Saccharomyces cerevisiae S288C: one gene and its partners. The gene in region 2 interacts genetically with the main gene of each other region. Each region holds a gene or a part of one and is shown on either strand. Other genes may lie near its edges.

Region 1 (3,838 bases), on a different chromosome or scaffold from region 2:
ATTTAGTTTCTAGATGCGTCATATCTGCAATGCTTTTGTTACTTTCTTCTTGTAGCTTTTCTAATGACCTTTTCAGTTTAGTGGATGTATTATTTAAATCAATTATTTTTAGTGTCTCTGTTTTACTGGAATCAATTAACCTGCGTTCATTATTTTGAGAAAGATCCAGTTGTTTATGTAAATTTCCTATTTTTTGCTGTAGCAATCTATCAGAGTCCTTTAACTGTAGAATAAGCTCATTTGATTTACTGAGGCTTTTAGAAAGAGTTTTGATTTCAATTAAAATTGAATCTTTGGACCTCATCGCGGCAAAATATTTCTGATCAGCCTTAGTTTTTTCTACGGTAAGCTTGGATATAACAGATTCGTGATTAATAATCTCAGAGTACTTTTTATGAGTTAAGTCGGATAACTCTCTAAAACCCTTCTCTAAGTCTTGAATTTCCTTTATTAATGCATCTTGAGTCGACGAGGATTTTGTATCGTTTGATCTTTGATCAATTTTTGTCCATTGCTCCTTCAAAATATCAATTGCATGTTGTAAATCGCTCAACACTTCAGTCTTGGATTTTTCAGCTTCCAAAATGGCGATTTTGCTTAGTAAATCATCACGAGCCGTTCTTATTCTTACAACGTCCTTTTCCAATGAACTGTTCATTTCTACTAGGGAGTCGAGACTTTTCTGGAATTCTTCTCGGACCTTCTTCGTATATATTTCTTTCTCTTTGGCTAAAACTTGAAATTTTGATAAAAAGGAACTATTGATCTCAGATAATTCTGCGTTTTGTTCAGTCAAATGTTGAATTTTTGCTAACAGGGACTCATGGTCATATGACTTGAAATCTGGGTCTTGGTCTGCTGCTGCTATCTGTTGCTTTTTTAAATTGGATACCTCAGAACGTGTTTTGATGAGCTCTTCCTCGTTTTCCCTTCTGATATTTTCAAGGTCTTTTATAGTGGAACTCAAGGAGTTTATCTCTGCCCGTAAATCAGAAAATTTCAGATCCAATTCTAATTTTTCATTCTCAGCATCTTCTTTTCGTTCATCCTCCGCCTGCACAAGTTCATCACCTTTCTCGGATTTTTTGGATGTATTATCACCATTAATTGCAGAGGAGTCTTTATTTCCAGATTTTATATTGTTTTCATTAGATTCTTTTTCATCTTCCCGTAATTCCTTTACAGCATCAGTCTTATCTTCCTTAAAAACACGTTTTATAGTAAAGGATTCATCTCTATCATACTTGCGAATTATATTTGTATAATATTCCTTCAAAGCAGAAATCTCCTCTGTCAATTGCGAATTTTCATAAAAGAGCTCCTCTTTACTTTTCCGCAAGTTTTTTAACTCCGTTGTTAATTCTTGAATATGATCCGAAGCATTACTATTAGTATTACTATCTGTCGTGTTTGGCTTCCCATATTTAGTCAGTAGCTTCATGAAAGAATCACTGCGCTGAACTATCAACGTCTCATCGCCTTGGGCTATTTCCCTACATAGTTGCTTCTCGTTGGCGTCTGTGCAGAATGTTTCGATAAACCTAGCTAAAGTTACTATCAGCGCCATAATATTTGCCAACTTGCGGGAAACATCTATGCACTCCCTTCTTGAAAGTTCATATTGCTTTCGCAAGGCTTCAAAGTCGACTCTTCGACGATTTATACATCTAAACAAAGCTTCTTTTTGAAACGCTATCACATCAGATTGAGTAAGCGGTTCACTAGGATCGCTTAATTCTAGCTTGATCTTCTTAGTAGCAGGCTCGGCCGTCATATCTGATTATTATCAGCTAGCACGATTAGCATAAAAACGGTGAAAGCCCTTTCTATCTCTGTTAAAAACCTTGGGGCGCTCTCTGTTAGTTTACCGTTCAAACAACATCCATCCAACTTTTTTTAATCTTCTTCTTTTTTGTTTTTTCGCCTTCTTTAAGAAAGTTTCGTTGGATGTGATTATAATCACGTGATCAAATGCTTTTGTCACTTTTATATAATAACGATGGTTTGATCAAAGTACGATCAGTTGGTGCTTCATTTCAAAGTTAGAAGACATCCTTAGTGCCTATTGTCGATCTGCTCTTTCTTTTTGAATCCACTGAAATTAACGATCTCAGAATTTCACCAGTGATTTTCCCAATATTATCTTTCGTGGGTAGAGAAACAATTCTGAACTCGATTGTGCTTCGTATGCTATATACGCATTGTTGTAGCACTAAAGATCATATTGCTCATTAAGCATGGGTCCTGCCATACATAATCAACTATATGAATGTGGATTAAAGACTACGTCTCAAGATGGCTTCTTGATGGACAATTATGAAACTCAATTATTTCAATCGTTGAACAGGTTTATCAATTTCATAAACAATGCTAATCAGTCAGCTAGTAATAAAGAACAAAATACAAAATTTTGCAAATCCTCCTCAAATTTTTTACGCTTGAAACTACTAACGGTTCTAAGACAATGGTGTGATTCTTCACGAAGCAACTGTACACTGGAGGTTAGAGATGTTTTGACCCAATGGTGGGTCACACTTTTAAACTTTCTAAATTCTGACACCTCGCTTCAAATAGATACTGCCCTTGAATTGAGCTTGAGCATAGAACTAACTTCCGTGTGTCTCGAGTGCCTCAGCAAAATTATGACCATACTAATAATATTGCCTTTCCATTCATCCAGAGACATGGAAATATACTCACATCATCTTTTGCTGACCATTCATTGCATAACAAACAAGTTGATTTTGATTTCTAAAAACTCCAAAAAACTTAAACGTACAAATAGTGATGACAAGTGCTCTATAAACGACAAGAAGCTGCAATACCTTAACAAATATTCTTCCTTGCTGCGAGCATTCATCGGGAAGTTAAATGCTTACGCATTTTTTTATCTACCAGAAGACTTTCATTTCGATACAATTTTGTTATTGACAGTTTCTCCTCAAATCTCTTCAAGTATTCAAACATCTTTGTTTTCATGGAAGAAGAGACAATATAAATTCACCGACGATCAGGGACAAATGATCCGCACTGAAGCTTTTGAAAATAAAGATACTAAATTTTTTAAGATCATTGTTTCTTATATTAAAAATGATTTTGTACTTATGTCATTTTATTGGCACTATTGGTATATCATACTTCAATTTATGAAATTCTCTGATTCAGATGTAGGAATTAAAAAATCGACATTGTCATGCATACCTGGCTCAGAAATTTTATTGACGCATGTAACCACTAGATTCTTGAATTCAGATTTGAATAAATTCACGCGGATTATTAAACAAACGCCGAATCCAAGGATAGCAAATGAGAATGTGACAGAGTCACATCCAAATTTCAAGAGTTTGAATAGTAGCAATGCTTTAATTACATCTGAAAGGATTAATGATTACGTATTTTCTAATTTTAAGACAATCAAATTATGGGAATGTCTTAGAAGCCTTTCAGGATGCATTCTTAAAGAAAATCATCCGGAATACCTGGAAAATATGCTTTCCTTACATGAGTCTCTATTGATAGACTATGTCTCCACTATTTCAGCGTACGATTATATTGCAGCGAACGTCATTTACAATAAGGTTCTCCAGTTTATTATTTTCCAGTTTGAAAGTTTACCTTCTCTGAAATTCATTCAATGGAGGTCGTGGTACAATGGGCTTTTGAGTATGTTAAGGACCAAAAATGTTAACTGCCAGACTGTTTCTTTATTATGCCTTTTCAATATTTGGAAGCACGTAACCATTGAGGACCGCGATGAAATAGTAAAAGTGCTGTTAAGTGATTTTTGGGAGTCATTGATTTTTGAAAACGAATTTCCTTTGATTAGAATTTTATTTAT
Region 2 (3,596 bases):
CGAAGAGGACACAAAGAATTTCAGGCAAGAGAATGAACGCTAACAAACAAAGGCAGTATAATCAGCTTGCACACGAACTTAGAGAGCTTCAAACGAATTTACAGGAAACGACAAAACAACTAGATATCATGTCGAAACAATGTAACGAAAACTTGGTAGGCCAATTGGGTAAGGTACATGGAAGTTGGTTGATAGGTAGTTACATTTATTATATGGAGCAGATGCTTGGAAAAACGCAATAAGGCATAAGAGGTAAGACAGTTAGTGGCCAGGCTAATTTATAAGATGTGAAATGAGATGGTGTTGGTACGATGGACAAACAGCTTGCATAAAAAGACAACCAAGTTACGTATAGTGAACGAGTGAAAATAGGCAAACCTTCTATTCACTAGGCCGCTTCACATGAAATTAGATGTTCGTATCATATTTACGGGTATCGCGTAATAAATAAGTTATTAATCTATTTTTTGTGTCTACTTATTTCAATTGGCTATATATCCTTATTTATCATCATCGTCATTATTATTATTATTATTATTATTACTATTACCATTACCCTTATTGTTTGTGTTGGTGGATAGTATGTTAGGACGCTTTTGTTTTCTTGCCAATTTGACTTCATATTCGTGGCAACTTACCAATCCATCAAGAACTAAAGGTTCAGGCTTTGGTTCTTCCTTGAAATAGTCGCTTTGTAAAGCTTCGGTTGCACTAAACCTTTTCGTCTGATCATAACATAACAAATTAATCGCCAATTGCAGACATTTTGAAGATGGTAAAACGCTTTTAAATTTCTCAGAAAAATTGTTGACATACTTGGTAGTTTGCTGTGGCATAATCATAAAAAACCACGGCATATCGTAAAGCGTTGGCCAGCTATTTATTGTAGGAGTTCCCATAATCTTGAAAATTGATTCTATTTGCTCTAATTCATTAGAGCCCTGGAAAATTGCAGTTTTATTGAATAATTCCACCAGGAGGCAGCCACAACCCCACATGTCAACTTCTGTTCCATAATTTGTAGTTCCCAACAATAGTTCTGGTGGTCTGTACCACAACGTAATGACACGGTTAGTGTAATCAGCTCGCGAATTCATTTTCCTCGCTAGTCCAAAATCTGTTATTTTTAGATTCCCCTGGTTATCGATTAAGATGTTTGAGCCTTTAACATCACGGTGTAAAATCTTATTATCATGTAAATATTCCATTCCTAATAGCAATTGTTTGAAGAGATGTTTGCATTGTGAGTGAGAAATTTGGACTTCCTTATTTAATAGTAATCCACTTAAGTCGTTGTCAGCATATTCAAATATCATATATACAGTTTTTTGAGATTCGACCATTATTTCTTTTATAGTAGAGACATTTGGATGATCAAAACTTTGTAGTAGTTTAATCTCTCGTATAGAGGTTATGGGAAAGCCTTCCCTCTCTCCTTGTAATCTCAATTTTTTCAGCGCTACTAACTTCTCTGTATTCGTGTTTTTTGCCTTGTAAACTTTACCATATGTTCCTTCTCCGACTTGCATTATCCTTAGGTAAACTGACGTGCTCCTTTGCTGCGTTAGAACCGAAACTGGAACTTTCTTAGCTATGACAGACCGCCCTTCCTGGCCTTTGTGGTTATAGTATTTTGAAGCATGATAGCCATTTTTTATATCATTACTAGTATTGGATGAATTATTATATCTTGATTTCTCAACAGATTTGGGCCCCTTTGGCAAATGAGACAGGAATTCAGCCTTTGTTTCATCCCTTTTTATGCTTTTAGGCCTATTTTCATACGACGTATTATTATTGTTGTATCTTGAACCTTGATATCTGGAACTTGTTTGAAAGGATGTATCGTTATAGCGAGATAAATTATTGTTACCACGACTTTTCGTGTGGCCTGGTTGGTCATTTGAATTTACCCTATGAGAAGATATATTGTCCATATTCGACTGGTAACCACTATCAGTCCGTATTCTCTTTGGTGGCGGTGGTCTCGCTAGGGACTGAGGATTTGGCGACCTCTTTCCGAACAAGGGTCTCTTATTATTTCTGCTATAACTCTTTGAATAAGTATTGCCATTATTGTAGGACATTGTTACCAAATAATTTATGCTGTATGGTCCCTGTGTTATTCTAGTGCAAAGAATAGTGCTAGAATTAGTTTTATTTACAAATAGGTTTTTTAAAAGTACTAATGGAACAAAAAAAGTCCAAAAAAAGCTAATATGCACAGTGAATAAATACACTGATAAGACCTTCTCTTTTTTTCTAAATGTATTTTACTGTCTGAACCGTCCATTTTTTAACATCTCATTGGCAATCAATATGTAAAGTTACCTTATTATGTAGAGGTTTTTCTCTTCCATCAGTGAAAAAAAAAAACGAAAAAAATAGAGCTTCACGTGACCTTTTTAAGCCAAATAAGAATAATGCTAAAAGGAAGTTAATTACTTTACTAATTTCCAGTATCCACAAGCATGAGGATATTAAGGACTTCTTATGAAATCCATTTATTGTGTATAAAACGTACGTATATTCTTTCTTTAGTTCATCGATTTTTAGATTAGCGCTAATATTATTATCCTAGACAAAAAATAGTTTAATAGGGTTTCTCTCGCATTCTTTTCATTCTTTATTTAGAGCATCCAGCGCAGTTGTCGAAGAGTTGGCATCTAGTTGTCGTAAATCTTTGGATGATTCCAGATAGGCACTTAACCGTCTTTGCTGCTCCTTATGGATTTGATCTTCTGTATCATCCTGGTGCTCATTTTCGTTGTCCTCGTCTATGGCACTAGTAGAAAACACTCGTCTTAAGAACCTTGAATTGTCAGCATTGTGGACCTCATCCGCTTCATCAGCTTGTACAGACAACGGAGAACGGTCTGCCGAGTGAGTTCTATAACTGAGACCATGCGTTGGATGAGTTGTCTTCCATGTCGTGCTTGGTAATTCCTCAACCAGACTTGCTGATGGTAGTAACTGGTTAGTCTTCACTGAAACATTACCAGGGTTAAAAAATTCAATAAACCTCAAGACTTTAGCAATGACCAAGGTATCGGCATCTTTGCCCCAAATCAAATCCAGGTGTTCATAATTGTCAACTTTAACATCAAAGACGGAGTTGAAGGGTAGATTTTTTTTCATCACATCAATATCAACTAAAGAATCTATGCCACCATAAATTAAAAGAATGGGAATCTTGATATTTGTTCTAGTAGGAAAATTAGCAATTTGGTAAGGCCTAGTTAAGGAATTTAGCATGTTATCAGACTCTTCAAACATTTGAAATTTCTGAGATCTTAATATTTGGAACCAGTGAACAATGGATTTTACACTGGTCGTTGAATAAAGTTTTGCGTAAGAAGCAATCTTTTGTCTCGGTAGAATGTTAAACGACTTCCAATTGAACAGTATCTTGTTTGCGATATCGATACACAAATTGAAAAGTGTTGGATGTAAAGTTCTTTGCCAAATGACAGCTGAAGGTAACACAATTTTCCTACCAAAGAAAAGATACATAAAGCCGGGCGATGATTTGGCCAAGGTATCGACAATTCTGTTGTGCAACCCCTTTGGAGTCATAGCGGGTGCTATGGCTATAA
Region 3 (3,838 bases), on a different chromosome or scaffold from region 2:
TCGGCGAAGCTCACGATTTCTTGAGCAAATCTTTACTAGAATTAAAGAAAAGTGCTAATGTGGGTAAGAAGAAGGAAACTCACAAGGCTAACTTTGAAATTGATTTGCCAGATGCCAAAATGGGTGAAGTCGTCACTCGTTTCCCACCTGAACCTTCTGGATACTTACATATTGGACATGCCAAAGCTGCCTTGTTGAACCAATATTTTGCTCAAGCTTACAAGGGTAAGTTGATTATTAGATTCGATGACACCAACCCATCGAAGGAAAAGGAAGAATTCCAAGACTCTATTTTGGAAGATTTGGATTTATTAGGAATCAAGGGTGATAGAATAACCTACTCATCTGACTACTTCCAAGAAATGTACGACTACTGTGTTCAAATGATCAAGGATGGTAAAGCTTACTGTGACGACACTCCAACTGAAAAGATGAGAGAAGAACGTATGGATGGTGTTGCTTCTGCCAGAAGAGATCGTTCTGTTGAAGAGAACTTAAGAATTTTTACCGAAGAAATGAAAAACGGTACTGAAGAAGGTTTGAAGAACTGTGTTCGTGCCAAGATCGATTACAAGGCTTTGAACAAGACTCTAAGAGATCCTGTCATTTACAGATGTAATCTAACCCCTCACCACAGAACCGGATCAACTTGGAAGATCTACCCAACTTATGATTTCTGTGTCCCAATTGTTGATGCTATTGAAGGTGTTACCCACGCTTTACGTACCATTGAATATAGAGACCGTAACGCTCAATATGATTGGATGTTACAAGCTTTGCGTTTGAGAAAAGTCCATATTTGGGATTTCGCTCGTATCAATTTCGTTAGAACCTTGTTGTCTAAGAGAAAGTTACAATGGATGGTTGACAAGGACTTGGTCGGAAATTGGGACGATCCAAGGTTCCCAACTGTCAGGGGTGTGAGAAGAAGAGGTATGACTGTCGAAGGTTTGAGGAACTTCGTCTTATCCCAAGGTCCATCCAGAAATGTCATTAACTTGGAATGGAACTTGATCTGGGCTTTCAACAAGAAGGTCATTGATCCAATTGCTCCAAGACACACTGCTATCGTCAACCCAGTTAAAATCCACTTGGAAGGCTCCGAAGCTCCACAAGAACCAAAGATTGAAATGAAACCAAAACACAAGAAAAACCCAGCTGTGGGCGAAAAGAAAGTCATTTACTACAAAGACATTGTTGTCGACAAAGATGATGCTGACGTCATCAATGTTGATGAAGAAGTCACTTTAATGGACTGGGGTAATGTCATTATTACTAAAAAGAATGACGATGGTTCTATGGTTGCCAAATTGAATTTGGAAGGTGATTTCAAAAAGACCAAGCACAAGTTGACTTGGTTAGCTGATACTAAAGATGTCGTCCCTGTTGATTTAGTTGACTTCGACCATTTGATTACCAAGGACAGATTGGAAGAAGACGAAAGTTTCGAAGATTTCTTGACTCCTCAAACAGAATTCCACACGGATGCCATTGCTGACTTGAATGTTAAGGATATGAAGATTGGTGATATCATCCAATTCGAAAGAAAGGGCTACTACAGATTGGATGCTTTACCCAAGGATGGTAAGCCATATGTCTTTTTTACCATCCCAGATGGTAAATCTGTCAACAAGTATGGTGCAAAGAAATAAGCATCACATAAGTAATGTATATACATATTTATGTTATTTCTCAACCAGTACCTTTTGAACAATATCTTTTATAAGTGAATGGTTTGCTTTCTGAACCAGTCCTGTGTTCGCTGCCTTGAATCATGTAAGGATAGCAGCTTATGACATGTATGTCTACCTATAGAACTTTGACTGTAAAAGTTTATCATCCATTACCCGGTTTTGTAATTTTGACAATTTATATTTTATTGAAATTGGTTCAAATAGTGACTACGAGCTGGAAGGAAAATATTCAAAGTTACAAAAGGTACTTGAAGGATACCAAAGTTTGTAATTGTATTGCACTAATTTGTTGAGAGCACTATAGAAATGTCTGATTTAGATGAGGATTTATTAGCCTTGGCTGGTGCCGATGAATCCGAAGAAGAAGATCAAGTTTTGACAACTACATCTGCCAAAAGGGCAAAAAACAACGACCAATCTCTTTCCAAGAAAAGGAGAATTGAAGTCGGCAGTGTAGAGGATGATGATGAGGAGGACGATTATAACCCTTACTCTGTAGGAAATGCAGACTACGGTTCCGAAGAAGAAGAAGAAGCTAATCCTTTTCCCTTGGAAGGAAAGTACAAGGATGAGAGCGACAGAGAGCACCTGGAATCCTTACCTGAAATGGAACGTGAGACTCTATTATTTGAAAGATCTCAAATCATGCAGAAGTACCAGGAGAGGAAACTTTTTAGAGCACGTGGAAGAGATATGAAGGAACAACAACAGAGAGCCAAGAACGACGAAGATTCCAGAAAGACCAGAGCTTCCACTAGATCAACCCATGCTACTGGGCATTCTGATATCAAGGCTTCAAAACTTTCGCAATTAAAGAAACAAAGAGCGAGGAAAAACCGTCACTACAGCGATAATGAAGACGAAGACGATGAGGAAGATTACAGGGAAGAAGACTACAAGGACGATGAAGGGAGTGAATACGGGGATGATGAAGAATACAATCCTTTTGATAGAAGGGATACATACGACAAAAGAGAAGAAGTGGAGTGGGCTGAAGAGGAGGACGAGCAAGACAGAGAGCCTGAGATTTCTGATTTCAACAAACTAAGGATCGGTCGTTCATTTGTCGCAAAATTTTGTTTTTATCCCGGGTTTGAAGATGCAGTCAAAGGTTGTTATGGGAGAGTCAATGTTGGCACAGATAAACGTACCGGCAAAACTTCTTACCGTATGGTGAGAATTGAGAGAGTTTTCTTGCAAAAACCTTACAATATGGGTAAGTTCTATACTAACCAGTATTTCGGTGTTACCCAAGGTAAAGACAGAAAGGTTTTTCAAATGAATTATTTTAGTGATGGTTTGTTTGCCGAAGACGAATACCAAAGGTATCTCAGGGCATTGGATAATTCGCAAATGATTAAACCTTCTTTACATTCTTTGAGTAACAAAACGAAAGAGGTTATGGATTTTGTCAATACACCATTGACTGATAAAACTACAGATGAGGTTGTTCGCCATAGGATGCAATTCAATAAAAAACTATCTGGTACGAATGCAGTCTTGGAGAAAACTGTATTGAGAGAAAAATTGCAATATGCCAAGGAGACTAATAATGAAAAGGACATTGCAAAATACTCTGCTCAGTTAAGAAACTTTGAGAAACGAATGTCTGTATACGAGAAGCATCATGAAAATGACCAATCTGACATTAAAAAACTAGGCGAGTTGACCTCTAAGAATAGAAAATTGAATATGAGTAACATCAGAAATGCAGAGCATGTGAAAAAAGAAGACAGTAATAACTTTGATTCAAAGAGCGATCCTTTCAGCAGGCTAAAAACCAGGACCAAAGTTTACTATCAGGAGATACAAAAGGAAGAAAACGCAAAAGCTAAAGAAATTGCACAACAAGAGAAGCTACAAGAAGATAAAGATGCTAAAGATAAGCGTGAGAAAGAGCTACTTGTGGCACAATTCAGGCGCCTTGGTGGGTTGGAGCGCATGGTTGGTGAATTGGATATCAAATTTGACCTTAAGTTTTAGTAGGCAGGACAATTTCAGTGTTTGTAAAAATATATTTATATTTATATATTTAAATATACTAAATAAAAATAATACTATCATCGTTGTGATGCAAAAAAAAAAAAAAATGAACAGAAAATAATAGTGATGTGAATGGTTTCGTGCCAAGGAACAAGGCCATG

What was found.
Region 1: mutations in CTK1 (region 2) and BRE1 are lethal when combined (synthetic lethality), as found in Saccharomyces cerevisiae (5 studies listed by BioGRID, with this or other methods).
Region 3: mutations in CTK1 (region 2) and RTF1 are lethal when combined (synthetic lethality), as found in Saccharomyces cerevisiae (4 studies listed by BioGRID, with this or other methods).

What each region holds. Positions count from the first base shown.
Region 1 is NC_001136.10:324,376-328,213, forward strand, and holds the start of BRE1 (E3 ubiquitin-protein ligase BRE1), read right to left. Parts: upstream 1,775-3,838; coding exon 1-1,774. Other genes in the region: AHK1 (Ahk1p), read left to right, coding at 2,238-3,838. UniProt on the Saccharomyces cerevisiae protein: E3 ubiquitin-protein ligase that mediates monoubiquitination of histone H2B to form H2BK123ub1 in association with the E2 enzyme RAD6/UBC2.
Region 2 is NC_001143.9:181,449-185,044, reverse strand, and holds CTK1 (cyclin-dependent serine/threonine protein kinase CTK1), read right to left. Parts: upstream 2,088-3,596; coding exon 501-2,087; downstream 1-500. Other genes in the region: HSK3 (Hsk3p), read left to right, coding at 33-242; TGL1 (sterol esterase), read right to left, coding at 2,620-3,596. UniProt on the Saccharomyces cerevisiae protein: Catalytic subunit of the CTDK-I complex, which hyperphosphorylates the C-terminal heptapeptide repeat domain (CTD) of the largest RNA polymerase II subunit.
Region 3 is NC_001139.9:39,498-43,335, forward strand, and holds RTF1 (RNA polymerase-associated protein), read left to right. Parts: upstream 1-2,000; coding exon 2,001-3,677; downstream 3,678-3,838. Other genes in the region: glutamate--tRNA ligase GUS1, read left to right, coding at 1-1,652; TAD1 (tRNA-specific adenosine deaminase), read left to right, coding at 3,810-3,838.